Diceros bicornis minor: one gene and its partner. The protein of the gene in region 1 interacts with the protein of each later gene in a pairwise test. Links are inferred from orthologs where the notes say so. Each region holds a gene or a part of one and is shown on either strand. Other genes may lie near its edges.

What was found.
Region 2: the proteins of FNDC11 (region 1) and GPBP1 interact in binary tests that used the Homo sapiens proteins (3 or more experiments, as listed by UniProt). The link is inferred for Diceros bicornis minor from reciprocal best matches to the Homo sapiens genes FNDC11 and GPBP1.

What each region holds. Positions count from the first base shown.
Region 1 is NC_080758.1:642,302-657,764, forward strand, and holds FNDC11 (fibronectin type III domain-containing protein 11), read right to left. Parts: upstream 6,192-15,463; 5' UTR 6,159-6,191; coding exon 5,157-6,158; downstream 1-5,156. Other genes in the region: HELZ2 (helicase with zinc finger domain 2), read left to right, coding at 106-222, 295-487, 651-785, 959-1,177, 1,316-1,472, 1,567-1,734, 1,933-2,057; tyrosine-protein kinase Srms, read left to right, coding at 14,803-15,164.
Region 2 is NC_080759.1:18,846,317-18,862,810, reverse strand, and holds the start of GPBP1 (vasculin), read left to right. Parts: upstream 1-8,797; 5' UTR 8,798-9,017; intron 9,018-9,048; exon of another isoform or gene 9,049-9,307; intron 9,308-10,554; 5' UTR 10,555-11,511; exon of another isoform or gene 11,512-11,525; intron 11,526-16,494. UniProt on the Homo sapiens protein: Functions as a GC-rich promoter-specific transactivating transcription factor.

The DNA of each region.
Region 1 (15,463 bases):
TGTCTCTCCTCTTCACTGTCTGTCTGTCTGTGTTTGGGTGGAGAGGAGGGGCCTGATGGTCCTGCCTTGGGACAACACAGGGCTTCATGGAGGTGTCCCCCCCAGGAGCATCACCCTGCACCACCGGATCCGGCAGCCTTCCAACCCCTATGCCCCAGACCTCAAGGCGTTCGACGCCCGGCTGCAGAAAGGGGAACTGTTCTCCAAGGACGACCTCAGTTGGTAAGGGGCTGGGGCCGTGGAGCTGTCTCCTGGCGAGGGGTCCTTGGGTGACCAGACGGCATCCCCACACAGGTACAGGAGGGTCCTGGGCAAGGCGAGGAGGTTCGAGCTGGACCGGCACAGGGTCATCCTGTGCACGTGCTCCTGTGCAGCTTCGGTCGCCCTCAAGAGCCTGGACGTCCGGCAGATCCTCGTGGACGAGGCGGGCATGGCCACAGAGCCCGAGACCCTCATCCCCCTGGTGAACTTCTTGACGGCTGAGAAGGTGAGCGAGGCGGGTGGTGAGCTGGTGACCTGGGCGGGGGTCACTGGGTGTGGCCTCCCCCTGGGAGTGCATGGAGGGCAGCGTTGTGGCGGGGCAGTGACGATGGCGGGGCTGGGTGCCCCTGGTCTGAGGGTAGCAGGACCACGCTGGCCTGTCCCCCCAGGTGGTTCTTCTTGGGGACCATAAACAGCTGCGGCCTGTGGTCAAGAATGAGCAGCTGCAGAACCTGGGTCTGGACCGGTCTCTCTTCGAGAGGTACCACAGAGATGCCTACATGCTGGATACGCAGTACCGCATGGTAAGCAGTCCCGGCCTCAGCTCCTTCGGCCAAGGTGTGGTCTGTGGCCCACTCCCCTACCTCCTACGTCCACCCGGGCCTTGTCCTGGGGCCAGAGCAGCTGCCAGTGGGAGCTCTTGGCCCGAGGGCGCGTGGGTGGGTGGCCTGCCCCCGCTCATGTCCCTGTCCTGCAGCACAAGGACATCTGTACCTTCCCCTCCATGGAGTTCTACAAGAGCAAGCTGAAGACCTGGCAGGGCCTGAGGAGGTCGCCCAGCATCCTGGGCCATGCCGGCAAGGAGAGCTGCTCTGTCATCTTTGGCCACATGCAGGGCCATGAGCAGAGCCTGCTGGTGTCCACGGACGAAGGGAATGAGAACTCCAAGGCCAACCAGGAGGAGGTGGCAGAGGTGGTGAGTGTTAGCAAGGCGCTCTCTGGTGCCTTTTGGTCAAGGAGGGCTTCCTGGGGGAGGAGGCAGAGGAGACGAGGGAACAGGTGAGGCCCTGGTGCCCAGGGACCTGGTTTCAGCTGCACCCCCTCGGTCCCTCAGGTTCGCATCGCCAAACAGCTGACCTTGGGCAGGACAGTGGAACCCAAGGACATCGCCATCCTCACGCCCTACAATGCACAGGCCACAGAGATCAGCAAGAGCCTCGTGCAAGAGGGCATCACGGGAGTGACCGTGTGCTCCATCACCAAGAGCCAGGGTGAGGCTGGGGACAGGGGGCACGTGGGCCGGTGGGCAGGGGGCATGGTGAGCACAGCGGGCAGGGGCGTCACCATGCCTGCCCGGCCCCCCAGGGAGCGAGTGGCGCTATGTGCTGGTGAGCACCGTCCGCACGTGCCCAGAGAGTGACCTGGACCAGCGGCCGACTAAGGGCTGGCTTAAGAAGTTCCTGGGCTTCGTGGTGGACCCCAACCAAGTGAATGTAGCCATCACCCGGGCCCAGGAGGGCCTCTGCATCATCGGTGAGGCTTCCTGGTGGGCGAGGGCTGGGGTGGGCTCCTCCCTAGGGGCGGGGCTGCCTGGTAGGGGAGGGCTGGGGTGGGCTCCTTCCTGGGGGCGGGGCTGCCTGGTAGGGGAGGGCTGGGGTGGGCTCCTCCCTGGGGGCGGGGCTTCTTGGTGGGCGAGGGCTGTAGGCGACCACTGACTCCTGCCCCTGGCAGGAGACCACCTCCTTCTGCAGTGCTGCCCTCTCTGGCGTCGACTCCTGGACTTCTGTGAGGCCCAGCAGAGCCTTGTGCCCGCCGGCCAGGTGCGGGTCCGGAGGAGACCAGCCATGTCCTTCTGAAGATCCCTACCTGCCTGCTGCCCTCAAGCTGCCAGGATTGTGAAGAAACGCCCCAGGCCCTCCTGGGCTGGCCAGCCTGGTGGGCCCCACTCAGCGGAATCCCATGTGCCTTAGTGGTCACTGCCAGCCACCATCTGGCCACCTGCGCCTGGCTGCCTGGGCAGGGGTCTCGGCGGCCGGCCGTGGTGGTGCACAATAACCAAGTTCCTGAGTCCTGGCTTCTCCCCAGGGGGGAGCAGGCCAGGCAGCACCCTGCCGTTGTACATAACCTTGGAGGAGACCCCACGCTCCCTGCTGAGCTGATTTTGCTGGGACACTTGGTGACAGGGAGCATTTTAGGGGTGGGGGCATCCTCTGGACCAGCACAACACCTTCCCTGGGAAGGTTTGGGGTCAGGAAGGAAATCCCCTTGGGGCTACTCGTTGGTCTTTGCATACCATCCCCAACTGCAGTGGGTTTGGTCAGGAATTCAGCTTTATTTTCTATTTTTAAATAAACCAAAAACCAGTGTCTTTTTTACTGGAACAAGGTCCTCAGCCCAAACTCAGGGCAAAGAGGCCTCCCTGGGAGAGAGCCTTTTCTCTGTCACCACTGCCCCGTCTAACTGGGACCCACAGCCTGTGTCCTTCAGGGACCACTGCCCCGGCAGGGGAAGGGCAGACCCGAAGCAGAGGCCCACCAGCCTTGCCTGGACCTGCCCCTCCGGAACGTGCTGGGTGGTGCAGTACTCCTGCGGGCGTGTGGGTGGGGGCCCCTGGACGGCGTCTGTGCTTCCACCCTGAGCTCTGCATCTGCCTTGTTCACTCAGGCCTGCTCCCAGGTCAGGGCCTTTGGAACACCCTGCCCAGGCGTGTCTTTCTTTGCAGGGTTGAGGACCTTCACCTGCCCCTCAGGGCGCATTTGTGTCCTACCGTCTCTGGAAACCTGTCCCCTCGATGTCTGTCCCCACCCCACCTACCCTGAGGCAGCTCTGACTCTGGAAAACAGAGCCCTTGACTCAGTGCCATTCCACTGTCCTTGTGGCTTTGAGTTGCTGCAAAGAAGTCGTTAACGCCAGGAGGGGCTTGCCCCACCTGTGGCCCCCTCTGTGAGGGGTGAGGGGGTGTCTATGTATCTGTCTGATTCTGATGTTTTCTACAAATCAAATTTCTACATTCCAATTTTTGTATCTTTTCTTGGACTATGTTATATGATCGAATATTAATTTTATTATAAAGACCACTCTGAATGCTTTTCTCACTTCTGGGTGTTTTGAGGTCTGACTGGATTGCAAAAAGGGGTGGTCCCTCCTCTTGCTTTGGGTTGCAAAGTGGCTGTTGAGGCTATCAAGAGCCAAGAGCCCAGAGCCCATCGTAGCTGGATGCTGGACGAGGGAGCACGTGGAGAGGGGCCCGCGTCATCCATTTTACAGCTGACGACACAGCCAACAGGCCGAGGGTTGTCTGTGCCCAGATAAAGGAAGCTGGGGGTTGGGGGCAACTTGGCAAGGAAGGTCCACAGTGGGTGAGCTGTGCCCAGGTGCTGCAGGCCACTCAGCCCACTGAACTCTGACCTCAGGCTCCAAAGTCTCCAGGCTGAGGCCTTGACAGCATCCTGCGAGGTCTCTGCTCTGAAATTACTCCCCAGGACCCTTGCGCAGCACACAGCCCTCCAGGCCGACCTGGGCTAGTCAGAATTCAGCCTGTTTGTGGCTGGTTCTCCAGAGCCTCCAACAGCACCAGCTGTCCAGAGGGAGGCACGGCAGGCCCCTGGCCTCCCTAAGTGCCAGCACAGGTGTCAGGTGGGTTGGGAGCTCACAGAGAGACAGACAGAAGTTGTAAGGAAAGGGGCCTGTGCACCCCGCGTGCGCAGCACCTGGGAGAGCACGTCTATTCTAGGGCAGCCACGAAAGCGTGGAGAAATTTTACCATATCTGGCGAAAAGCGCTTGAATAGAAGACTAGCAGGCGCCCGGAGGCAGGGAGCCGGGACCTCATCAGCCTAGTCAGGAAGGACTTCCGGAGGAAGGGGCGTTGAAGCCCTGAGGACGCGCGGCGGCGGCGGGAAGCCGGGCTGGACTGCGGTCGCACAGCTGCGCGCAGAAGTGGCACGAGGCGGGCCGCTGGCAGAGGGCTAGGCCTCGTCGCAATGAGGGTCGCAATTTTAAGTCAGTCCGTGTGCGAGGGGCGGGGCGCGGCAGGTGAGCTGCGGCGGGTGAGGGGCGGGACCAAATCTGCGCCCCCGCCTCAAGGGCCGCACCGGGAGGGCGCCGCGGAGTGGCTCACAGCCGGGGAGCTGCAGCGGTGCCGCCGCGAGGCCGGTCTCTGGGCAGTTGTCCTCCGAGTAGGGGCGCGAGGCCAGGCTGGGGGCGGGAGGAGCAAGGAGGGAAGAAGTCCCCCAGCCCGTGCACCCACATGTGCCTCCCTTGGTGAACCCGCACTCCATGCTGTCCTCTGTGGGTGGGATCTGTATGACCCAGCACAAACCCCGATCCTGGATCCCCTGGCAGCTCCCGCCCATCCCCTCCACAGCCCTCTCTGCTCTGCACCACACCCCACTCCTCTAGTCGTTCCCTAAGAAGGTGATGACTCTGCCTGGGACCCCTGGGAGGGCTCCATCCTGCCAGACATCCAGGAGGCAGGCTCAGCCACATGGTGCCACAGAGTGTGTGACACAGTCTGGCCTCACCCCTGGATGGCACGCAGGAGCACACAGTGGGTCAGCGGTGGGAGAGGCCTGGGAGGGGAGCCCCTACCCAGGCTGAGCCCACCCCAACCCTGCAGAGCACACTGTCCCTAGCTGGGGGAGGGGCTGGGCCTTTCTGACAGAGTTGGGGACCCCTCTCTCACCAGGCCACTTCTCCATCAGTTCTCCCGGCTCCAGATCACCCTGCCCTGCCATGCCTTATCTTCTCAGAGGGCCGGCGGTCCTAGTGACCACCATGGGGTGCGTGTGGTGGTGGACGGGGAGCTGGTCACCAGTGCCAGTGGGGGGTGGCGCTGGGCTGAGTCAGGAAAACACTCATGTGGCTGTTGCCACCTTTAAGACGTAAGTAGGTTCATTTCTCAAATTGTGTATGTGAGTTTATACTCCTCTGTATTAGTGGATAAATAGCAGGAAATCATCTCTCGGAAGGTGTGGTCGGGGGTGGGCCTGGCCTGCCCAGCCGACTTGGGGTGGGCCCCTTGGTGGGCCCCGGCCGGGTCTGCAGGGTGAGGCTGTCCCGCCAGGGCTCGTACACCAGCGTGTAGCTCTCTGCTCTCTTGACCGTGAACTTGTAGGCGCGGTTGGGCAGCAGGTTGCGGATGTCGAAGGTGCAGGCAGCCACGGGGATGAGGCCACACTGCGTGCACTCCTGCTGCGTCCGCGGATCCAGCAGCTTGAAGCGCAGCTCAAACTGCTCTGGCGCCGCAGGCTGGATGGTGACAAACCAGCGCAAGCTGACCCAGTCCTGGTAGGCCACCGACTCCTTGCGGTCGAACATGACGGGCATCTTGGTGCTCAGCATGAGGCGGATGTGCGGGATCTTGGTGGCGCCAATGTCGGACACCAGACGGTGCTTGAGGTGCAGGCACCCGGGCACCATCATGGCCAGGAAGCTGTCCATGACGGCCGACAGCTCTGCCAGTCGCCGCTCCACCAGTCCCCAGCCTGTCAGGAAGGGCTGCGGGTCGGGCGACTCGAGCAGGGCGTCCAGCTCGGCGCGGCCGCAGTCCAGCTGCTCCAGCAGGTGCCCCAGCAGCAGGAGCTGGATCTTGGTCTGGGCGGTGCCCACCTTCTTCATGCGCTGGAACTTCCAGGGGTCGATGAGCTGGAACATGGCGCTGGGCAGCACCAGCGGGTTCTGGTCGCCCAGGGCCAGCTGCTTGGGGAGGATCTCGACGTAGTAGGAGCACTTCCTGAGCAGCTCCACGCGGGCATGGTGGCGCCGGAGCAGGTGGGGGCTCAGGTCCGAGCTCAGGAACTCCCGCAGCGCGTTGCGGCGTTCCACGTAGGTCCTCCACGCCTGCGGGTCCAGCAGCTGCCCGTCCTCAGCCTCCTCCGCCTCCTCTTGGTCCAGGGGGGACTGCGGACTGTCCAGCTTCATCCTGTCGAGGCCCAGGCCCGTCACCTGGGAGCTCATCGTCTGGGGCGGGGCGGAGGGCACGGCGTGAGCTGCAACAGTCAGGCCGGCCTCGGCACCCTCCCAGGACTCACGTGGAGCAGTGTTTGTGTGGGGGTGACTGCCCCAACACAGGGCCCTCTGTCCTCCCTGGGCGAGGAGGAGCTTGTGGGGGGTGCACCTCTCTCTGGGAAGGGGCTGCAGATCTGGACAGAGTGGACACTGAAGGGCAAACACTCTACTGACTGCTGCTTGTGATGACACAGGCAGGGCTGAGACAGTGGCTCTGGGACCAGAATGGCCTGGGCAGAAACCCCAGCCACTGACCAGCTGGGTGGCCCGGCAAGACCTCAGTTCCTCGTCTGAAATGGGGTGACCATATTCCCTTGGGGCTGTTGAGAGGATTCAGTGTGACCCTGCTGAGCAGCACTAGTCCCCTTGGGGGGGACCCTCCACGCCCCACCGCAGGTGCAAAGCAGAGGGCAGGGCTCACCCAAAGACAAGGCCAGTTGGTGGCCTGGGCCAGAGCAGAAGGCAGGGTGGCCCCAGGCCTCAGCTCTGAGGAATAATCATGCCAGCTCCTAGTGACTGAGCCCCTGCTGTGTGCTGGGGGCCTCAAGGGCCTTGATGAGCTCACTGAGTCCACAAGAAAATCCTCATGAAGTGGTAAGATTCTGTCACTCCGCGTCACAGATGGGCGCCGGGCTACAACGCTTGGCAGCTTGCTCTTAATCCAGGGTTTGAGCCCAGCCATCAACCCCAGAGCCTGACTCTCCTGCACCCCACCTCCCAACCAGGGGTTCCCAGCTCTGCGTGTCAGTGGGAGCGGGCTAGTGCACCCCAGCTGTGGTCCCAAGCCCAGCAGAGGCAGGCCACAAGGCCTGGCCCTGGAAGCTGGGGCTCCTTGGAGAAGGGGCCATCATCCCTGGCTGCTGTCCCAGGTCTCAGCCACCCAGAAGGAGGTGGGACAGACCCTGGTGCTGGTGGGACATCCCCAGCAACCCAAGGGCTGGATGAATGACAGATGACAGCTGAGAGCTTGAGTGACTTGCCCAAGGCTGCACTGCCACGTGGCAGAGTAAGGTTGGGACCCAAGTCTGCCTCCCTCCCCAAAGGCCAGCCTCTGACCTTCCTGGCGCAGAGGAGCCAGACCAGCCCCTGGCACAGCAGAGAGGATATCTGGGGTGAGGCACAAGCAGAGACCAGGACCCCAGGACTCCTAGCCTAAGTCCTGCTCTGGCCGGAGGCGGGGGCAGATTCAAACCGCCTCCGGAGGGAACTCTTGCTCCTGGGGCTGGCCACGGGTCAGGGATGTTTCCAGCCGCCAACAGTCTCCCAAGTTGGAAAACCGCAGAGGGGCTGGTCGTGAACTCCGGGGAAGGGGCCGCTCCGCTCCCTGGCGGCCCTACCCAGACCTACACCCCCTAGCCCCGCCCAGGCCTTCCCCTCACCCCCAGGCCCACCTCCCTGAGACCCGCCCCCTTCCCCGCCCGCCTCCCCGGGCCCGCGCCCGGCCTGCCGCGCGCGCTTGCCTTGCCTCGCGGAGCGGGCGGAGCCGTGCGGCCACTGTGCGCAGAGCCGCGGGCGCCCAGGCTCGCGCCGCGACCTCCAGCGGGTTGCCACGGGGACCGCGGGCCTTTGTGACGCCCTGCGGGGCCCGGGGGTGGGGGTGTGGGGAGACCCCGCCCGTCGGACCCCCTCGACTGGAGGGGTTGTGGGAAGGCGGCGTGGGCGCGCTCTCCGGTTCCAGGACCCCGCCGGAAGGAACCGCTCGTCTCAGCCGAGTCCTCGGCCCCGGACCCCGGACCCCAGGCTCAGCTTGGACGGAACCGTCTGGAGGCTTCGCCCCGCGCCCTGACCTGGGAACCACCGCAGGTGGCGGGTCCGAAAGCCAGGCTCGAAGTAGGGTTCCGCCGAGAGGCGTAGACAGGCCGCCGCCCTCTGCGCGGGGGACCCTGTCCCGGGGTCGTTCTGTGGCCACAGCGCTCCCTCGGCGGGGACTTATGGGCTCGGTTACCGGGAAGGGGCTCCTGCTCCAACCTCCGCCCGAGCGCCGCCCCGGGAACCCCACGGAGGACCCGGGGAGAGAGGCTGTGACTGCGAGAACTGGCAGGTGGGTGCGGCTCGTCGCCCCAGCGGACGGCAGAGCAGGGAGAGGAGTGGCCTCCTCTGCCCCCGCAGGCTTCCTCTGCCCAGGCGGAGGCCACTAATCTGGGTCTGGACCAGTGGGGTCTCCACAGCTCCAGGGAGCCCCTCGGAGGAGTTCTCAGCCCCTTGAGGCCCAATGGTAACTCAGCCCCTTGAGGCCCAATGGTAACCCCCAGCTGGGACATCTGGGCGCTCTCTACCAGTCTGGGGTGTCCCACTGTTATGAGAGGTTCGGGGATTCGATCGGAGACGTAGAGAAACTTTCCACTCCAAACAAATGGACTGAAGGTACATTTTATTATATAGAGGATAGTAAAGGCGATAGTCCGCAAACAGATCCGAATAGGTCAAATAATAAGAGGGAAAAGACACCAGCTCGACTGGAAAGGGAAAACATCCACATCGGCTGAGACAGCAGCAGATCTGAATAGGTCATATAATAAGAGGGAAAAACATCAGATCCATCGGAAAGGGAAACACCAGATCCACTGAAGGGAAATGACACAAATCGACTGGAAAGAGAAACACCAGGTTGACCGAAAAGAGAACACATCAGATCAATTACTTCACAGTAAATCAATTACTCACAACATCCACTCCCCACTGCCGGGAGAGTCCTGTCAATCGACACGGCTGGGCGGGAATCACACGTCCTGGGCAGGGCGTCCCTTCCACAGGTGGAACTCTCACCGGGTCTCAGTCCCAGCAGTTTATATAAGCAGTTACAGAGTTTACAGAGCAAGCATCCAGTGTTCCCATGCACAAATGGTTATCAGTGGTGTACGTGCACTGAGCCCCTTGGCTAACGTCCCAGCCCAGTAATTGTGTACGTGCATTGTTCTCTTTGGTTATCACCTTAGACGGGCACAGATGGCCAGTCCATCCCGTGCTACGTCGCTCCGAGAGCCTTGAAATGTTACAACTTGCAACTCTCTCCGTGGGAGAAGGGCCAGTTCCCACCACGCAGAAAGCAGCTTTTATATTTCTTTTTGTGCTGGTGGCTGTAGGTCAATGGAGCGGCCAAACATGGCTGTGCTCATGTCAAGACACCCACCGGCAGTGGTCAGTCTCAGACAGCCCAAGGCACTCCTTGCTCCACCTGGGGACGCTCCTTGCCACCCTCGTCTCCGCCCCTCAGAGGTCGTGGTGGGGCCCCTTCCAGTGTACTTGTCTGTCCCTGAGCTCCCCTCCCAGTCTGTTCTGTGGCCAGAGGCTCCCCCACTGCACTCCCGCCCCTCCGGGTGACTCCACCCCTGATTCGGCATCCATCAGCCTGTCCTCAGGTCCAGGCCTGGGTGTGGAGGACCCTGGAGGCGGGGCCTGGGGAGCTGGCGGTGGCCAGTCTGCCCTCCTCTCCCTGAGGGGCTATAACTCAGTGAAGGCTGGCTGTTGTCAGGGTTGTTATTGAGGGGTTTGAGGGACAAGAGCTGGATTATTTGGAAAGGGGGGTGCTATCTGAAGGTGGAAGGGGGAGGCTGGCACCTGGAAAGGGGGGAGACGATGGAAAGCAGCAGGAGGCAACCCCCAGCCTTGCAGCCCACCCACAGGGGGAGTGGGGTAGAGCAGCCCTCCCCTCCTCTTCTGATCCAAGCTGTCCTGGACCTCTGCCATCTCTTTGGGCCCACCCTCTTTTTTTTTCCTATTTCTCATTCCTCGCTAATTTTTTAAAATTAAACTTGTAATTTTGAGATAACTGTAGATTCACATGCAGTTGTAAGAAATAACACAGAGATGCCATGTGCCGGTCACCCAGTTTCCTCCAGTGGAAACACCTTGCAGAACTGAGGACAAGATCACACCAGGACAGTGACCTCAACACATCCCCATGGGACCCCTATGTTGCCTTTCCTAGCCACACCCACTTCTCTCCCGCCCCCAGCCCCTCCTTAGCCACTGGCGAGCCCTAATCTCTTCTCCATCTCTGTAATGGTGCCCTCTTAAGAATCCCGTGTAAATGGAGCCATACGGGTGCAGCCTTTGGGAACTGGCTCCTTTGCTCTTAGGCTGTGCATCACTAGTCTTTCCTTTCATCTATTAAAAGAGAAAATTCAAATGGGGCCTGCTGGTGGCGTAGTGGTTAAGTTCGCACGCTCTGCTTCAGCAGCCTGGGGTTTGCAGTTTCAGATCCTGGACGTAGACCTATGCACTGCTTATCTAGCCATGCTGTGGCAGGCGCCCCACATATAAAGTAGAGGAAGATGGGCACCGAAGTTAGCCCTGTGCCAATCATCCTCAGGAAAAAAAAAAAATTAATGGACTAAATTCGAAGATCTAATCGGCTTTATGAATCAGCCGGCATCGCATCTTGCAAGCAGAGATGCTCCAGGGGTTACACGACATGGAAGCCTTCTCTAGTAAGAAGGGCAGGACAAGGAAAAGAAGTCAGCAGCAAGGAAAAAATGGAAGCTCACTGGAGGAAACGAAAAATTCAGGTGATGACAGCCCGGCGGCTTCTCATTGGCTGAGCTGCAGCATTTCCCATTGGCTGAGCTGTGGCGTGTCTGATTGGCTGAGCTGCAGCATTTCCCACTGGCTGAGCTGCGGCGTGTCTGATTGGCTGAGCTGCGGCATTTCCCATTGGCTGAGCTGCGGCATGTCTGATTGGCTGAGCTGCAGCATTTCCTATTGGCCACACTTGTTGCTGGGCAAGAAGGAGAGCTTTTTCCCCCTGCAAGCGCTTCCCGTTTGCAAGTACAAGGTCTCTCTTCCTGTCCGGGTCTGTAATTGACGCCCCACTGTTTGGGGCAGTTGACCGCAGTGTGAGAGCTCCGCTACAGGCCTTCCCGACTTAGTGCTAACATCGCCGAGACGTTCTGTTTTCTGTCTTGTCCGATCCTGTCTGCAGCCACCAGGCTGTGCTGTCCCTTAGTGGGCCCAGCGGTGCTGCGCCCTGAGGCTGGTGAGCCTGCTGGTCGTGAGGTCACAGCCGTGGGGGAGGGGGTGCCCCACGACCATGGAGCCCCCAAACTGTGCCCTCCAGACACATGACCCCAGGGGTGGTGGTGCCGGGCTGCCAGCCTCAGCCTGAATGCCTGGGAAGCCGCCTCCTTGGCCCAGGCGACCTGGCCCAAAGCCTCACTGTGCCCCTGCAGGCTCAGTGCTCTTACAGCCGGGGGATCCAGGCAGATGCGGTCAGCACCTTCCCGAGGGCATATGGCCAGTGAGCCTGAGAGCAGGAGTCCAACTCCGTCATCTGACCTGTGGAAGTTAAGAAAGAAACCTGGGCTAAGTCGGAGTGGGGGAGGCCTGCAGGGGGAGCTCTCACCCCTCTCTTGTCCTCAATTACTCCAAACAGGAGACAGACTTGATCTCCAACAGGAAGTACAACTACTTTACTGGAAGGAAGATTTCTCTCCCCACCCAGCAACAGCCCAGCCAATCAGACACAACGCAGCTCAGCCAATGAGAAACGCCGCAGCTCAGCCAATCAGACATGCTGGAGCTCAGCCAATCAGACAGGCTGCAGCCCAGCCCATCAGGCAGGCTGCAGCTCAGCCAATGAGAAGCCATTGCTGCCCTGATCTGTCACTCTCTCCCAATGGACTTTCCTTCAGAACAGCCCCCCCCCCTTTCTCTATAAAAGCAGCTCCCTCTTTTCTTTTGGGGATTTGCTTATGGTTCACTGTATCGTGGGCATCCTGAATTGCAATTCTTTTGCCTATTTCTGAATAAACACATTCTGAGATAAAATAACAGGCAAATTTGCTTTTTAAGTGGACAGACCCCATCCAGAGCTGTCCTTCTCCGGGGGTCCTCCCCCTCACTCACACACCCTGGAACATTTCCCCTCACCCCCACCCCCTCCAGCATGGACTCAGTGCCTAGGGCCCATGGAGGAGGTGAGGCTAATAGGGGTGAGTGGCAAAGTCAGAGGAGGGGCTGTCCTGGGGGCGGGGCAAGAGTCACGTGGCTGGAAGCTGGTGTGTCAGGTGGATGAGGTGAAGAAGGGGACAGTGTGGGCCAGATCCTGCAGGTCAAGGAAACATGAATCACAGTGCAGGCAGCTGGGCCTGCAGGGGCCGAGGACTCAGAGAGCCGACGACTGGAGGGACAAAACCAGCTCTTGCCGCCCCCAGTAACCAACACCAGGTGTGTGCGGTGCAAGGACAACAGGGGAAAGTTGAATGAGGAGAGGTGACCTGGGGGTTTGTGGGGTGGAGGGGGACAGAGGAGGGCCCAGGCAGGGCGGTGGCCGAGTGTGGGGTGCTCCCTGCAGAGCCTTCTGCACTGGGCAGATGAGGAGGAGCATCTCTCCCTCTGGGGCCTTCTTTGGACTCTCTGTCCTGGTCACCCGGAGATGGGCCAGGCGTTCTTTGTGAGCTGGGTCCCCACTGCCCAGCACAGGTTCCTGCTAGAAAATGTCCCTGCTGTGACCGCGAGGAGCGATAGACAGAACTCTGTTTCCTCATCTGGAGGAGGAGGAAGACCCCGCCTGGCCGGGGTCTTTGTCTGTAGCAGTGGCAGGGTGGGCAGCCCTCTGTGCTCTGTCCACTGATTCACTCTCTGGGCTTTTCTTTAGGCTGACAGGAGGCCTGGGGGCCAGTCCGGGGGACCGAGGAGGGTCCCTCCCTGCCTGCCCTGACTGCCAGAGGGAATGTGCTGAGTCCCAGAGACCGAGACCCTGTGGCTTTGAGGGACCAAGAGTGTCCAGGAGGAACCTGCGTCCAGTGCTCTGAGTGCTTGGCCCTGAGGGTGGTCCACACAAGTGGGACCCTGCCACACCCCAAGGAGGCCTCTTTGTGGCCGTGTGGGTCGGAGATGCCTAGCCTGCTTCCTAGGAGAAGCTGCGTAGGTTTTGAGGATGTAAGGAAACTGGTGTGCAAAAGCCCAGACTTACACACACGGGAGGAGCAGGAGGTGGTGTGGAAGCCTCAGGGCCCTTCCAGGGCCTCCCCTCATGTATTTATAAATATCTTCTGCGCAATACTGCCTCCCAACAGGGTGAGTCTCAATTCCATGCAGCCTGCCCCCTGGGGGCCCTGCTCCCTCCAGGCTATGGGGGCCCCAGAGAGCTGCGCAGCTCCCTGTGTTCCTCCAAAAGACACCCGATGTGTATCGTTGCCACATTACAGTTTGTAAATCGTACGGGCAGTGTACGCAGGTGTGTGCCCCAGGAAGCCCCGGGGTGCGTTTCAGAGAAGTGACCTGCTGCAGCTCTAGGGCAGGTGGATGGGCGTGTGGCTTCCCGCCAGTGGACAGTCAGCACACCTGTTGGTCGGGCCTGTTGAACCACAGAACCCGAATATTCGGGCGTTGAGCCAGTGTGGGGTCTGGAAGGAGGTTTGCGGCTGTCCTGAAAGGATGTGGGCTCAATAAAGGTGCTAAGGGGGCTGGGCTGGGGGAGGCCAGTTGGGGGAGAAAGAGACTGCAGGCTGCCTGGTCTGGGGTCCCACCCACCAGCAGACCCCGCCCTAGGGGCCCGCCCAGAACGAGGGGGGCTGCAGTTTGCGCTCCCCACCCAGCCGGAAGCAGAGGCGACCTGGGCAGCCGGCAGAGTTTGCTTCAGTGTCAGGGGGGCCTGGCGCTGTCCAGGGAGAGAACAAGGAGGGGTCGCCCTGGGCCGGTCTCGCCGCCCCTTCCCTGCCACTGGCACCCGGTTCATATCCCTGAGCCGGGGGTCTGATGTCAGTGCCGCGTCCTCCCTGAGGTGGCTGTTGGGTGTCCGTGGCCCCAGTGGCCCAGAAATCATATCACTTCGTCGTCGGCGCATCTGTCCAGCGCTCCCTGTGCTCGCTGAGCCCCCGCAATCGCCGCCAGCCCCCCGCTTGCCTCAGGCGGCCGAAGTCGCACAGGCAGCGGTGGGGGGCTGTGCTGCCCCGGCGGCCCCCCCCCCCCCTGGCTCGGAGCCCTCGCTGCAGAGGCTGCCAGCCGGCGCGTCTGGCTCCGCGCTGCGCAGCGTTCGTGTGATGTTAACAGATTTGGCCGCCGTTGGAAGAAGCAGGCAGTTTCCACACAAATCCAGCTCACTGCCGGGCGACGGTGCTCGTGCCCCTCATGGAGCCCACTTCTCTGAGGGCGGAGCTCAGGGCCTGGCGGGCGTGTGGGGCACCAGCGCGCCACCCCTTCTCCCGTCGTCACCCTTGCTGCCTGGCGGGGCCACGCCCCTCCGGCCTGGGCCTGGGCGGGGAGACGGACGGAGGGAGGGAGGGGCTGCCCTGCCCGGAGGCCCCGCCCCCCACGGCCCCCCCGCGGCCGGCCCCCCAGGCCCCGCCCCGGCTCTGAGCAGTCGGGACAAGTCCTGCCCACTAGACGCCCTAGAGGTCGAGGAGAGGAACTGCCGTGGGTGGCGGGGGCTGGAGGGCCACCTTGCGCCCCACCTGGTCTGCATCCCCGCCCGTGTTCGGTGGCCTGTCCCCCAACTCCCGCCAGCAGGGACGCCGCTCTGCGAGGCTCCCGGTTCGCCGTCCCACCGGCCCTTCCAGTTTCTCCCTCGTCGGACGTCCGAGCCCCGCCGCTGCGGCCCCTCCCCTACAGGGCCCCATGCGCCCCGTCGCCCGCGGCCCGACGCCCCGGGAGCATGGAGCCCTTTCTCAGGAAGCGGCTGACCTTCCTGTCCTCCTTCTGGGACAAGATCTGGCCGGCGGGCGCGCCGGACGACGGCATGCCCCGGTTCCTGGACCCTGGCGCGGACGCCGAGCAGGAGACCCCCGCCGCGGAGCCCCGCAGCCCCCCGGCGCGCGCGCGGCTCTTCAGGGCGCTGTACGACTTCACGGCGCGGTGCGCTGATGAGCTGAGCGTCAGCCGCGGGGACAGGCTCTACGCCCTCAAGGAGGAGGGCGACTATATCTTTGCCCGCAGGCTCTCCGGCCCGCCCAGCGCCGGGCTGGTGCCCATCACCTACGTGGCCAGGGCCACCCCTAAGACGCTCTCAGACCAGCCGTGAGTACCACCGCCCTGGGGAGGCAGGAATCAGCGCAGGACTGAGTCTGGGGATGGCACGTCCAGGACCGTTGGGTCGTGCATCCGTTCATCCCCCGGGGCCACTCCCCCAGACCCTGCCTGCAGCCCTGAGGGAGCACACAGCTGTGGTGCGGGGACACTAGGCACTCTGTGCCCCAATACTGCTAAGAAGGAAAGCCGCTAAGACTCCGGCAGGAGCGGTCCGGTCCAGGGGCAGCTCAGCTGCACTGTGTGAATGCATGCCACTGGCCCGGCACCCGCCTGATGGTCACTCTGGG
Region 2 (16,494 bases), on another chromosome or scaffold:
AAGACTCTTTGTAAAGCATGAATCCAATCATGTCTCTCTCTTGCTGAAAATAAAAGACTCTCCAAAGCCTTCAGGATAAACACCTAATCTCCCTAGCACAGAGTCAAAGCCCTTGTGATGTGGTCTCTGCCTTGTTCTTTAGCTGTCTCTCATGGTTCCCAGCAGCCTGTGTGGTGGCAGTGGCTTCTTTTCGCATCTTTGGAGGTGCATTGCTTTGGCTTATTTTCATCCTTGCGCCTCTGGTTAGGCAACAGCTTTTAAAAGGAAGGCCCTTCCCTCCTAGAATTCTGTTCAACTCGTTAGACAGTTTTTTAAAGGCTTCTTGGAAAGCCACCTCACAGCACTCTGTGCATGGCTCTAACATTGCACTTGACACAAAGTCTTGATATTCATTCACTCGACAGATTTTTTTTTTGTGAGGAAGATCAGCCCTGAGCTAACATCCGTGCTAATCCTCCTCTTTTTGCTGAGGAAGACCAGCTCTGAGCTAACATCTATTGCCAATCCTCCTCCTTTTTTTTTTTTTTCACAAAGCTCCAGAAGATAGTTGTATGTCACCGTTGCACATCCTTCTAGTTGCTGTATGTGGGACGCGGGCTCAGCATGGCCGGAGAAGCGGTGCATTGGTGCACGCCCAGGATCCGAACCCGGGCCACCAGTAGCGGAGCGCGTGCACTTAACTGCTAAGCCACAGGGCCAGCCCTCGACAGATATTAATATTGAGTGGTTACCACTACTATGCCCTGTTCTAGACATTGGAGGATACAGCAGTGAACAAAATAGATATTATGTCAGCTTCATCCCTTAGGCTGTAAGAATCTGGAAGCCGGATTGTGTCTTAATCATTTCTGTCTCCTCAACAGATAGCACAGCAACAGCGCCTAATAGAAAATAAATCTGAATTGCACTGAGCTAGGATTCAAGCCCAGGTCCATCTAACTCCAAAGCCCATGTTCCTTCTACTACTATGTGGAATCTAGATTAATCTGAGTCTATTAAAGTAATAACAGTAACACTGTTAAGAAAAATGGCAACATGGCTCACATCTAACTAGGACCTGGTTCATCATAGGTGCTCAATGTTATTTTGCCAAATCTTCCTTTTATTTATTTATTTTTATTTTATTTTATTTTTTTGAGGAAGATTGGCCCTGCACTTACAACTGCTGCCAGTCTTCCTCTTTTTCTTTTTTCTTCCCAAAGCCCCAGTATATAGTTGTGTATCATGGTTGTAGAGTTGTAGCTGTTCTATGTGGGACGCCACCTTAGCATGGCTTGATGAGTGGTGAGTAGGTCCATGCCCACGATCCGAACCAGTGAACCCCGGGCTGCCAAAGCAGAGTGCGCGAACTTAACCACTATGCCACTGGGCCGGCTTTGCCAGATCTTCCTTTTAAACTACCATCCTTGGCTCAATGATTTACCCACTGGCATATTACCATAATTTTTCACCACTTCCCTCTCCTTCCTTTCCAAACACACAAAACTCAGAAACATTCATTACCATATGGTTTATGGGAGGAAAAATTAGATAAAACCTAACCATCTTTCCATCAGACGCTGGTTAAATGAGATAAGGTAAATTCTTCCAATGGATTATTATGCAATTCTTAAAAATAACAAGTTATCACTAAGTGTACTGACATGGAAAGATGTCCATATATTACTAAGTTGAAAAAATAAATTTCATAATAGTATCTATAGACCAATTTTATTAAAATATATGTGTGTGTGTGACACATGTATGCATAGGAAAAAATCTAGAAGTATCACAACAAACTGTTCACAAAAGCTTAACTCTGGAGGTATAGTAGTACTTTAATTTATATACTTTTGTATTGCTTGAGCTTTTTTATAACAAGCTTGTATTATTTTCAAAATAAAAAGGAAGAAAAAGGTGGAAATATAATCCAAGATGTTCTCATAACATAAACCATTACCATTTTAATTCCTATGAATTTTAACAAAAGCTGTTTTAGTTAGAGCTTTAGTTTAGTGGGAACACAGCTTCTAGTCTCAGTAAAGTAGAAGTGATCTATGATTACTCTAATTCTGAAACTTAAAGGCTTAATATTAGGTATCAAAATGAGAAATCTTCAGTTTTACATCCACATCTGATAAACTTTGATTGGCTTTTGGTCATGCCATTTAGTTTCTGTCTGTATTCCTATATGCTCATTAAACAATTAGGCTCAGTGTGATGAGAGGCATTAATGCATTTAAGTAGAATGGTTTGGGAGAGTTGCTACTCAGTTGCACAGGAAAGCTACTGATTCAATCAAGTTTCTAGAGTAAATGATAGATTTCCTTTCATAAAATGGGTATTGAGATGCAAAAGTGAAGGATGCTATCCCAAATTGAACTTGGAAACCTAAGAGGATAAATACTAGGGAAATCCCACCACAGAGTATATTCCTAAGCAGTGTCCCACATGTTTATTGGACTGAGAATCAAGAGGTAGCAAAGTAGCCCAGCTCTGGACTCCATTTCTCCCTCACATTACCCAGTCTGTAACAAGGTGAAGGGGGCAATTACATCTCCAAGGTTCCTTGTAGTCTTTTTTTCAGAGATGATAGAAGACTCAATATCTTGAAATAGACCACAAATCTTTTTAAAACACTACAAAATGTATTCTTCACTTTATCCACAACAATTTACATATTTATACGCCTGCTGTAGGCTTAAAATTATAAATGCCATGCAACAAGGGGCTGTGTTTTGGAAGTCACATATTGGAGAGAACATTTAAAAGTTTTTGTCGGTAATTGTGCTCCTGCTAATGGTGTTCCTCTATACCTCCTTGTACAGCGGAAGGGGCAGAGAGGTGGAGGTGCCAGTCAGGGAAACTGAGCCACTCATAACTGGAGCCAGGGGGAATATTTGTCATCCCACCTATCTGTTTTGATTAAAAAGCTGTCAATTTTCTGGGTCCTGCCCCGTGGCGTAGCGGTTAAGTGCGTGCGCTCCACTGCTGATGGCCTGGGTTCAGATCCTGGGCGCACAACGATGCACCGCTTGTCAGGCCATGCTGTGGCGGCGTCCCACATAAAGTAGAGGAAGATTGGCACAGACGTTAGCTGAGGGCCAGTCTTCCTCAGCAAAAAGAGGAGGATTGGCATGGATGTTAGCTCAGGGCTGATTTTCCTCACACACACACAAACAGTGGTCAATTTTCTAGTAATTAGTTCTAGGTACAATTTAAAAACTCATCCAAAGGGAGAAAATGCTTGGTAAATTTAAATTTATAATCATGGATTAAACTGAGCAAACTTTAATAGGATCAAGAACTTTCTCTAGTGGAAAGCAGGTTAGAAAAGTGGCTTAAAAATACTAACCATCCTTATTGTGTTAAAGAGATCATAGGATTAGTATAAAATGTTTTAAATTAAGAAATCAGATGTTATGTTAACCTTAAAATGGAACACAGACAAAATGAACAATTTTAAAAATATGGGGAATTTTAGAACATATGAAATAAAAAATGGATACAAAGCTCTATACACTATGACACAAAGATATAACATGCAAAGAATACTTGAGAAGAATACATTAACATTTAAGAGCGACTATTTCTGGGTGGTGGATTATAGATAATTTTCATTTGTTTATACTCTTCTGTATCTGTCAAGCTTTCTGCAAGTATATACTACTTTTATACTTAAAAAATTGAAATTAGGGGCAGGCCTGGTGGTATAGCAGTTAAGTTCACGCACTCCGCTTTGGTGGTATAGCAGTTAAGTTCACGCACTCCGCTTTGGCGGCCTGGGGTTCGCAGGTTCTGATCCTGGGCGTGGACCGATGCACTGCTTGTCAAACCATGCTGAGGCAGTGTCGCACATAAAGTAGAGGAAGATGGGCACGGATGTTAGCCCAGGGCCAATCTTCCTCAGCAAAAAGAGGAGGATTGGCAAGGGATGTTAGCTCAGGGCTAAACTTCCTCACCAAAAAAAAAAAAAAAATGAAATTAATGAATGCCAAATTTATTGATCAAATTCATCATTAGGTGCCATCATGATTAAGGATGACACAGATCTTTTCAGTTAAAATTATACTCTATCATTTTTCATTTGTTATATAACATTTTTTTATTAAAAAAAAAGTTTACTTCTTGTAGAGCAGGGTTGTTCCTGAAACATTTTTCTTCAAAATGTTTTTATTTTCATTAGCCAGTCCTTCATTCATCCAGGTAGTATTTATGGAGTGCCTACTCTGTGCCCAGCATTGTGCCAGGTGCTGGGGACACAGCAGTGAACAAAACGGGCATGGGCTCTCCCCTGACAAAACCCACTGAAGAGAGGGACTTGCTAAATGGATCAGCACAAAACTGTGAGACTTGGCAGGAAGAAAGAGGAGCATGCAAACATTTTTGATTATACCGAGGAGAAAGCCTGTGTGAGCTTCTGATTTTCTCCAAGTGACATATCTGAGCCTCAACTCAGATTGTCTGTGAACCTCCAGAGTGCAACAGCAGGACCACAAGTGGCAGTGAATAGAGAACGAGAGGACCTCTGCACCTGCCAGTCCTCAGAGAGTGGTCAGGCTGTGCTGGCGCACGGGAACAGGAGCTGAGTGGGCTCTGGATGCTTCAGTCATCCATCCATCCAGTCATACTTATTGAGCATCTTCAACGAGCTGAGCATTGTTTTAGGGGCAGGAGATGAATAGAACAGTGTCTCTGACCAGGGTCTCATCGTCTAGAAAGGGGGACACCAAGGAGAATAGTGATAAAAGTGAGTGTAAATCCATGAGTCCAGAGAAGGAATTTCGGAGCTTTACCTGATCATTGTTTACCTGAGTGTTATTTCAACAGAGTCTCTAGGGATAAGAAACAAGAATTTGCAAAGTAGAGAGTGAGGAGAAGAAAGGCAATCTAGCTCAAGGGAATAATATTTGCACAGATTGTTAAAGAACAAGGGAAATTCTGAGAACTGCAGGTAGCGTGTGGCTAAAACAAAGACTAAAGGTGGAGTCATGCATTTAACAAATAACCGTGGCTGAAACTGTACTAGCTGCTATGAATAAATATGAATAAGACATAGTCGATGTTTTCAAGGAAATTTGAGTCCAGTGGTAGAGACAAGTAAAAAAATTGGCAATTATGATCTAGTGTAATAAGTGTAGGAGGAATCATAAGGAAGGTCTTGGGTACCTTTCCAGGACCAAGGTAGAGGCAGAAATGGGTAGATAATTAATCATAGAGGTAAACACAGGGTTGTACAATGGGAACACAGAAAAGGGACATTGGATGTAGTTTTAAAAGATTCAAGATTTCTTACACAAATACTTTGCTCTTCAATTGTTGCTGATTTTTGGGCAATTTTTTTTTTTTTTTTGTGAGGAAGATCCACCCTGAGCTAACATCTGCCAATCCTCCTCCTTTTGCTGAGGAAGACTGGCCCTGGGCTAACATCCATGCCCATCTTCCTCCACTTTATATGGGACGCCGCCACGGCATGGCTTGCCAAGCGGTGCGTCGGTGCGCGCCCGGGATCCGAACCGGTGAACCCCGGGCCACAGCAGCAGATGTGCGCACTTACCCGCTTGCACCACCAGGCCGGCCCCGGCAATTAAATTTTAAACATTAAATTATTATAAAATAGTATATTCAAATAGTACAGCAGGGAATAAAACAACAAATCCTGATTTCATGAATATTAGTTATTCTTTAGGCATTGTCTATTTCTGTATAAATACACACACTTAAAAAATAAATGATGATGATTCTATGTATATTGTTTTGTCACATACTTTTATCTCTTAACAAAACATATTGAACATCTTTCCATGTCAGTATATATTGGTCTACCTTATTCTTTTTTAATAGCTGTACAGTATTCTGTTATATGGATGTACCTGAATTTTTTAACCAGCACTCGGTTGGTAGACATTTAGGTTATTTGGTTTTCACTATTATAAATAAGTTCGAAATGAACACCTTTGTTTATACATCATTGTATACTTGGGCTAACATTATTTTGGAGCAAGTTACTTAATCTCTTTGTGGTTAATACCTATAAAATCATTGAGAGAATTATCAAACTTTAATTAAAACTTCTTGTATAGAGCCTGACTAAAAAAATGTTCTCTTAAACTACTGTAATGTGATGTTCATTAATAAATTAAAATAAATCTATTATGTGATAAATTCTTTGTTTAGATTTCACTAAATTAATAAAATAAAATAATGAAAAACATGTTACTGGTTGGAGACAAGTTCTTGTATTTAATTTTTTTTTTTGTGAGGAAGATCAGCCCTGAGCTAACATCCGTGCTAATCCTCCTCTTTTTGCTGAGGAAGACCGGCTCTGAGCCAACATCTATTGCCAATCCTCCTTTTTTTCCCCCAAAGCCCCAGTAGATAGTTGTATGTCATAGTTGCACATCCTTCTAGTTGCTGTATGTGGGACGTGGCCTCAGCATAGCCAGAGAAGTGGTGCGACGGTGTGTGCCCAGGGTACCAACCCAGGCCGCCAGTACCTGTGCGCGCGAACTTAACCGCTAAGCCACAGGGCCGGCTCTGTATTTAATTTTTTAATTAGGTTTTTTTTTAATGATTAGAAAAGTTACCTAGGCCCTTAACAGGTATAAGGAATAAAATAAACATCCTCTATTATTCTGCCACCTAAAAAGAAGCATTGTTAACATTTCTGTGTCTATTCCGTCAGAATTTGTCCTTTGATATATACTTTTTTATTTGACAAAAAGTGGGACATTATACAGACAACTTTGTAACTCACCTCATTTTTCTTAATGGTATGTTGTGAACATCTTTTCATATGATCATTATTTTTACAAAGAAGCCATTTTTAATGGCTTCACATTCCACCTATGGATGTACCATAATTTACTCAATGTCTTTATTTATAGGCATTTAGATTGTTTCCAATTTTTTTGTAGTTATAAGCAATTTATCAATGAATATCTTTATAAATTGTTGGTTACCTTTCCTATTATCTTACTAAAATAAATTCTAAGACATAGAATAGCCAGGCAAAGGGTATCTTATTTTAAGGCTTTTCTAAACAAAAGCCATATTACCTTTCAGAAAGGCTGTACAGATTTTGATTCTTGATATGGCTAATGCAAATGTCTATTCCTTATGCCTTCATCTAGGTTTTATTCTTTCTAAATCTTTGCCAATCTGTTAGGTAAAAAGTGATATCTCACTGTTAGTTTTATTTCCATTTTTTTCTAATTTCTCGTGAGGTAGAACATCTTTTCAAATCATTACTGATACATACATGACTAGCTTGTTCATGCCCTTTGACTTGTTAAGAGTTGGTATGGTTATCTTCTCCTTAAGGATTTGGGAGAGCTCTTGCTACACTTATTATGTAAATCAAACATTATTAGATACTAAGGATAGTAACCGAGCATATATAATTAAATAACCTGTTTGTCATACATTACAATTGTTTCTCCATTTCACTATTTGTTTTTCAACTTTATAAAGTCTTTTGCCATATGAAAGGCACAATTTAAATTATCAATATTTTCAAATTATCAATATTTTCTTTGTTTTTTGAACTGACATCATGTTTAGAAATAGAAGCAGGTCCTGTCCCAATACATAAGTTGCTTATGGATGCAACTTAAGTCTGGTACAGCCGAGTTGTGGCACCCAACTTCCATGTTGTGTAACCTTAAGCATGTTACTTAACCTGAACCAGTTTCCTCATCTGCAAAGCGACATAAATAGCACCCACTTCAGCCGCTGATATAAGGGTTAAATGCCTGACACAGACAAGGCATCCAGCAAGTGTTAATTCCTTTTCTTTGTACTCAGCGAGGCATTATTAACGGCCAAATGTCCATCTTCCCTATGAAGACTAAAATAAAAGACTGGGAGGTGTAATTTTTGGTGCGTTTACATTTAAACATTCTTTCAGGGAGCTTTTAGAAGCAGCTCATTAAACTACAAACCCCATAATGCATATAAAAGAACCATAAAGTTTCTGTGTAGGAAGCCGTTGTCGCTTGGAGGGAGGGCAAAGAGCCAAGTACTTTTTATTCTCTGGATTTTCCCTCCTTAAGACACCCTCCCCCCACATTCCCCCTCAGCACATAAGGTTGCTTTTTTTCTTCCTGGAAGGCTCATTTCCTAGGTTTCAAAGTAAGCCTTCAGTTATAAGGCGAAAAGGTATCGAAATTAGAGAACTGTGACTACCACAAAATTCATTAGAATAAATCTCATGGGCTGTGTAGGACCGAGACACTGTTGAAATAACTCTCACCTATCGTGGATTTAGTAGAAAGAAAAATGATAATTAGCACGACTATATCCAGTAGCCATTTTTACCCTTTGAGAATCTGGGCTTAGTTCCCCATGAGCGAACCTCGCACGCTCAGCCACTGCCTGCCGTATACATTATTTAGGACGGACACAGTCTCGTATTTGCATACGACGGCGGATCCATTGCTTCAGGGCGTCCAATTAGCCCTGCGCCGACACAGCCGTAGCTCCGCCCGCGCACGGCTGTGTACAGCCGAGCATGTGATCTCCCATCCGCCCAGGCCCGAGCGCCCTACGCGGCGAGTGGCGCGCGCCGCGGCCCTTTCCAGCTTCCAGCCGGGGAAGACGCCGCCGCGCGCGCCACTCAGCCCGCGCTGCCGCCTCCAGGAGCAACATTCCCTTCTCGCCCTCCCGGCGGCCCCACCAGCCCAGGTTCCGGGACGGCCCGGCGCGGTGGGGGGGCGGGGGGAGAAGGGGGCTCCTCAGGGAGCAGCGGGGAATTCCCCCTTCCACCGAACGTTCCCGATTGTTCGGCGTCCTCACGTCAGCAGCAGGGGGTAATCCCCGACTCCAGCTGCTCCTGACGTCACCGCGCGGCGCCACCGCCCCCCGCGCGCCCCTGCGTATGGGGCCTCCTCGAAGCCCCGCCCCAAGGCATAGCCACGCCCTCTTCCCTTCCCCCAGACGCCCGACGTAGAGGGCGGAGCTTCCTTGGCCGAGGCGTGAGCGGTTGCTTGGGCCAGAAGGTTCTCTGGTAGAGGCGCTCCTGCTGCCCCGCCCAGTAGGTTCGTTCGCAGCGCTTTTTCCACACCCTTTCTCCCTCCTTCTCGTCGCCCCGCCTTTCCCCTCCCTTCTCCTCAACCCCTCTAGTTCCTTCCCCGCCTCGCCACCTTCCACGATCTCGCGAGACTTGGCTCAGAACATTGCGGATCGGGTCGGCGCCATTTTGGGACTGAGACTGGTTGTGGGGGAGGGAAAAGCGGCAAAAGGGGATTATTCAAAGTACCGAAAACCTCCTCCTGTGATCGAGCGCAGTGGCACCCCCAGGCCAGGGGCACCTCTGGTGTGGCAGAAGGTAACACCGGCCTCTGTGCTCCGCGCCAGAGTCTGGGGGAGGAGGGGGGTGCCCGTGTCGGCGTGGGGGTTTGAGGGGTCGGGAGCGGCGTTGGCGGCGCGAGGTGTGAAGCTGCCTGCGGACCGGGGGGGGGGGGGCGGAGAGCAAGGCGAGAGCTAGAAGGACGGCGCGGGGAGGCCCCTCTGGGTATTGACTCGGCCCCGGTGCAGCGGAGGTGGCGGTTGTGGGGAGGGGGTGCGTGGCTTCGCCTTGGCGGCCGGGGGGAGGTGTTTGGCGGAGGCTGGGAGCGGGTCCGACGCTCTCGGGGCTCGCTCTTCCTTCCTCCGGCCTCTCGCGCACACCCGCCTCCTTTTGCACCACTGCCTCTCAGAGGGCTGAGGGAGTCGAGGCCGAGTTGTGGCCTTCGGTGGTTTCTTGAGCAGCGCGCCCGCTCTCCCCGCCTCTCCCAGGTCCGTGGCACTAGCTGTGGACTGAGTCGAGTGCTACCTTGTCCCTCCGAGCCCTTTGGGGTCTCAGGAGACCCGTTCTGTTTGGGGAGAGAACCCCACTTACGTGGTTTACGCAAGGGCTCTATACCTTCCACCCCCTCAGTGTCGGGAGAAACCTGTTTTCTTGATTCAAGGAAATGGGAACCGACAGCTTTATCCCACTGCTGCCGTCGGAAGCCGGGGAAGTCTCACCCTGTGGTGAATTTAAGGAATGTTCTCGCCCCACTTCTCTTCCCCCTCCTTTTCTACCCTTAGTGGGGAAAATGTGCCTCTTTTACACCTTCTGATTTGGAGAGAGCGTCTTCTCTATATTCCTCGTTCTCTAAGTTGCATATACTAATGCTTAGTGGCACCACACCTGTCTGTTCTTTTTCCTTTGGTACATCGAGTGGAAAATAGAGATCTGTTGTAAGATTGTATGCCAGCTTCATAGTTTTAATATTTATTCAAAAAGTATGGGAAGGTTTGCTTATGTAATCTTCAGTGTTATCTCCGCACCCCCTTCCCAGTTGAAATCAGTATTTGCCCTCCATAACATCATCTCCCACCTTTTTTTCTCTCTGTTCTTAAGTCGTTTTCATACGGTGGACTTTTTTGGGGTGTTTGCTTGGGCATAGCCTTTTTCTAGACCCCAGTAGAATTGTATAGAATTTCTCTCCAGAGGTTGACTCTTTAAGATGGGGTTTAATGTTTAGCTCAAAATTAAAACTCAGTATGTAATTTAAGTTCTTTTTTTTTTTTTTTTTATAACTTTTACAGGTGATTGAATTACTCAGATATGAAGATCATCTTCTAGGTTTTGTGTAAAAGGCCCCGGATATTTCAAGTGGCCATTTTGGAATTACAATGTTTTTGGATAATTTTGCCCCAGAAGTTTATTAAAATTGGCAAGAATCATCTCTGAAGTGAATTGATAGTAGTGAACAATTCTGCAAGCTACTTAAAAAGAGATCCAGGCATTTCTTCAGTATTTTGGTTCAAACGGATTATATAACTGGTTAAAGTGTTTCAGCTGGTGGTATTTTTGCCTTTCCCCCCAACCCTCTCCCCTGTTGTTGGTGTTCTTCAGCCAAAACTGTAAGATATGTTTGATTTGTGTACTGAGTAGTTTCGGCAGTTTCAGATTACTCTTTAAATATTGCTGAAGTTTCATGGCAGTTTATTTTTACCTTTATTAAAAGTTTTAGGAATTTTTGACCTCATCCGTTTTCATGTCACAATGGGACAGCTTTTCTAAATGAAGACATTGAAAGAATAGAGTTTTTTTCCTTTTATCTTTTATTTACGGGGAAATTTAAGATGTTGCAGTTTCCCAGCAGCATGGTAGTATTGAGATAGCTATGTGTCTCTGTATATGCTGATTAGGAATGCTCTTCAGATGTGAAATTTTCTTTTTGTTTTTGCTTTTTGGCTCATAAATTGGATATTTCGTCTGGAGTGGATAAGTACAACAGTGACCAGTACATGGAATAATAAAGAAGACTTTATAATCTTAAATCCAAGGAACTTGGCTAATTCTGGAGATAGCCATATGAAAACTTGAAAACAAGTATGGGTAGCTGACTTGAAGTAACTCTATGTCAAATAGTCATAGGTTAAGTATCTTCAAAGAACTTGGATATTATTTCAGAGGATACAAAATAAAAAAACAAACTGGAAAACGTAAAGATTACGGAGAAAAACCCAACACCTTCCTGTGCAGTCCTGTTGGAATTTGTAAGTACTATATGGTGAGCAAATCAAATGTTCATTTGTAAACTGTAATGAGAGTCAAGTTTATCCTATTTTATTATTGGAAACCTTTCAGTTTCTTGCAGTAATATTGCTTGGTTTCAGTTTCCTGGACAGTCTGAAAACAACTATTAAAGTAAATTGAAATGCAGAAGGAGTTAAGGTTTAAGAATATTTCAGATCAAAGAGTCTGAATTTAAGTGTTTGTGCTTCTGAAGTAAAAAGCAAAATCCATATGGTCGGTGTTCACCTTAGGCTTAATGGGGATTGCTAGAAAGGTAGGAAAAAACCCAACAAATATTTCATGTGTCTCAATAGCCAGTTTATTTGCTAAATGTGAGTTTAGACTGCATTCTAAATGTGGTTTGTGTTCCAATTTAGAGTTAAATATTTGTTTAAAACAAATTATGATACAGGGCTTGATTTTTAATCTGATATTTCATGAAGTAGCTTGTTTTAAGGCATAACTGTTCCTAACATTTTAATCCATTATAGAAATTAAGTTTTTGAAACAATTTGTTGAAGTGGTTTTGCATTTCAAATTATTCCTTAAGATCTCAGTTCAAAAGTCACATCATTACTAGGAACAGAAACTGAGAGGAACCGAGCAAGATGCTTTAAGAACCTTTAAAATAACTTAAAAAATGAGTATAGTTTTTTTCTCTTAGGAAGGTTGTGCTGGCTTAAGTTTATAAAGAAAACTTTTTAAAAAAAATTGTGAATATTGTTGTGATGGAAACCCTTTTGACAAGTGAGAGAATTACATTTTAATAATATTTGTATTTTTCAGGATTGATGGTGTGTTTAATTACCATTAGTTGCTACATTTAGTTTTTCAGTCAATCATAGGCATTCATTAGGAGTGTTTATTTTTAAGAAATTTACTAAAATTTATTTTTTAAGCCATTAATATTAGTGGGCAGATCAATGTAGCTGAAATTAGAGTTTATTTCATTTAATTATCTTTCTGAGATAAAAGATTGTAATTTTTGAACGCTTTGCCAAGATGGCCTAATAACTTGTCAGTGGCTCATTGGCTTCGAAACAGAACTTTTTTTGCTATGCTATTGAATCCTCTTAGCTCACTTAGAGCAGAAGAGGTAGTAGAGTCCAAAAGAATGTAGGTATTTAGATATGCATATATAGCATTTATTTTCTGACCTAAATTGAGATTCGAGTTTAATAGTTTTTTTCTTAGAATAGACTAGGTTATTTGTGTTTTCTCTGTCAGACCTTTGTGTAGTATTTGTAATTGAATTTCCACCTTGATTTATATAAAAATGTGGCGAGAACATTCTCCCTCTCTTTGCTTCTGAGAGCCTGTATTTTTGTGCATTCTTCAATTTAGTGGCTTTTCAAGTTACTCTTCGAGCATTTTCTAAGAATATGCATCTTAAAAGTGACCAAGAAGTTGAAATGAATGACCTTTATTCGTAGAAAAGAACCATGTAACATATTTTATTTGTGATTATTTTCTTTTAAATTGCTTCTGTTGATGTTGTTACCCAAGCAGTAGTATCAGGATAGAGCTTACTCCAGCGACTAGGGATCTTAACAATTAACTTTAATCCTTGAATAGTCTGGCATTTGTGAACTTTGTTTACAGCAATTGTTCAAGGACAAATTTACTTACTTGAACATGTTGATAAATATTTTATTTTATTGGCATTGAAATATATAGTACCAAAAGTAATTGGAACAGTTGCTGGGCTGCTGCTTTTCCCTCCATAAGTACTTCTTTTTCTCCTATCTCCCTTATTCTCATTTTTTTCTTCTTTTTTCCTCCTATGCCTGAACTATAGGTGTAAAAATAATAATCATAATGACTAATATTTATTGATGATGATTGTGTCATGTATTTTGCTGTGTGCTTTACATAGTATATCTCAATTCTTAGAATAATCCTATGAGGAAAGCACTAATAGTTACAGTGGTATAGGTGAGAAAATTTAAGATTTAGGGAGACTGAGACTGGGAGAAAGGTAACTTAGGACCAAGGTTATGTTGGAGTCTTGGCCAAATCTCCAAGTCTGACTTGAGAGCCCCATGCTCTTAATCAATATGCCATACTTAAACTGTCTTCTTGTGGATTATACTTTAACTGATTTATTTTAGAATTATTCTTGATATTTTTCTATTTCTTTTCATGTACTACTTCTCTTTGGTTAATATTGATCATTAGTGGAGTTTGGAGACAAGCTGAAAGACGAGAAACTACTGTCAGTTTTGCTATTTGTTAGTAGCTATTTGAATAACTTTGGTTAGCTAAAAATTAAAATGTGGTTTCAGGTAATACTCAGATCTCATTCACCCACAGCCTCTTTGTATGGGTATGAAGCTAAATGCATGTTAGCTTTGTATTACTTTTTCTCTGTTTTTAAACTGAGATTACTACATGGAATTTTGTGCTTAAAGCTGCTGACACTTTAGAATTGAGGAAGGGAGGAATAATAGGGAAATACAGGAAAGGGAAATAATAGGGAAAGAACAGGAGTGAGCAAAAGAGAAGAAAGTAAAATTTAGAGATTTACAAGAGAAGGGAATAAGGATGGCAACCTCTACTCTGAAAGTAAAGTTAATAAGTGAGGACCGAACCTAAACCCAGGCCAGATTATTTAATTGTCTTTGACCCAATTACCTTTTCTGTTTAATTTTTGATAAGAATGTTTAGATAACAATTTAGGTCCAGGTAAGGGTAGTGATGTAGAAAAAAAATAATGGGAGTTAGGAGATTTTTGGTTTCGAGTTTGGAATATTGGAAAAGAGCCTATGTGGCTTTATAAATTCATCTGACCTCTTTTGACTTTAGTTTCTTCATAAAACTGATGGAAATAATGTGTATGAAGGCTTTTTGTTAATTGTAAAGTATAATATAGATGTGAAGTTTTATTCTAATTACAATTTTCTAAGATTCTGTGTAATACATTTTACGTATCAAACAAATATTTATCATATAGTCTTTGAAATTATTTATTCTATCTCTTGTTTCTGTTAATGGCGTCAGTTGCATCACATTCATGCCCTGTGTTCCCATTTCCAGTTTCATTTATTAATCCTAGCTTGGTCCTTGACTAAGAAGTAACTTACTAACTCATCTCTTTGCCTTCAGTTCCGTTCTCTTCTCCCCATAGTCTCTCCTGTGGCCAGAGAAATCTACCTAAAGTACGGCTCTTGGTTTTGTTACTTAAGCAGCCCTTAGGGTCTTGTATTTGGTATTTTCAGGGAGGGTAGGTTGGAAAGAGATGTGTCGTTCCCCTCCCCCCGCACCCCCTATTTAATGGTTTATACGTTAAGGGGTTCCTAACATGAATTCTTTTTTGGCTGCATAGGTGGGCGTGGGAGACAGTGGTTTGAGAATTTTCCAAAGTTAATAATTTTGGGGATGCTTATATGTATTTTTCTGGGGAGCAGGTCTGTTGCTTTCAACAGGACCCTCACGAGAAACAAAATGTTAGCATTACTGATAAACCTTTTGTGGTTGGGTCTCTTTTTCAGTTTTACCTGCTTGCTTTTTCCCTTTTTGTCAGTTGCTCCACCCAGCAGAATAGTTACAGGCTTTTGCTCTATATCCCTTCAAGTAATTGCTAGTTTCTGCATCTTTCTGTACACGATATCCCACTCAGTTTCTTGTTCTTGAGTCATCTTTCTGTTCACAGTTTGATGAGTGCAATGTTTTTGGTCTTTCATTTTCTGCCCTTTAATTCAGTTTTCAGATTACATTTTTTAAAACCATATTTAAAAGTTTTTTCCATTCATTTTTTTTGTTTTTAGTAAGAACAAGAGTTTTAAAATCTTGGTTAAGTAGGTTGTGTTTCCTTTGCAACTCAGAACTTGTATAAATATATATATATTTTTTTTTTGTGAGGAAGATCAGCCCTGTGCTAACATCTGCCAATCCTCTTCTTTTTTTGCTGAGGAAGACTGGTCCTGGGCTAACATCCGTGCCCATCTTTCTCCACTTTATAAGGGATGCCACCACAGCATGACTTGCAAAGTGGTGCGTCGGTGTGCGCCCAGGATCCGAACTGGCGAACCCCGGGCTGCCGCAGCAGAGTGCGCACACTGTACCACTTGCGCCGCTGGGCTGGCCCCTGTAAATATATTTTTAAAAACTCTTAAACTGAAAAATTGTCAAGAATAGTTATCTTTATCTTTACATATGCGTACTAGTAAAAGACGTTAGTTTGGTTTTCAGTGAACGTAAATATACTTTTAATGACTTTTTAACAAAGTAATAAATATTTATTATCTCACATGGTTTCTGTGGGTCAGAAATTTGGGAGCAGTTTAGCTGAGTGGTTCTGGCTCCTTCCAGGTCTTTCTTAAAATTTCAGTTAAGGTGTTGACCAGGGCTGCAGTCGTTTGAAGACTGGAAGGCTGGAAGATCTCCTTCCAAGATGGTATTGGGCTTGCAGGTTGATGCTGGCTGTCGTCTGGGGGACTCAGTTCCTTACCATATGTGGACCACTCCATGGAGGTGCTGCTTGAATTTCTTTGCAACATGGCAGCTGCATCTGCCAGAGCAAGTGATCTGAGAAGAGAGAGGTAGAAGTGTAGTGCCTTTTATGACCTTTTTCAGAAATCAGTTCTGCCACATTCTTTTCTTAGAATTCTAGCCTGCAGTCAAGGGGAGAGGTGTTAGGCTCCCCCTTTTGTCAAAAGAATTTGTGGACATATTTAAAAACCGCAGTAGGAGGTAATCCTTCGCAATCAGTAGTCGTCAACATAATTAGCCAAAGTCTTCACCCCAGAAATAGGAGGTTGGGCTATTATAATTTTAGAGAAGAGAGTATTTCTAAATTTATATGAATTTAGGAGATTTAAATCTTTTTACTTTTCTAGCCCTTATGAGATAGGAAGGTAAGGTTTTTTTTTTTTTTTCCCCTTTTGCATTAATCTCCCAATCAGCGTAATGAGGGAGCTCTTTTTTTAATTGTGGTAAAATGAACATAAAACTTATTATTTTAG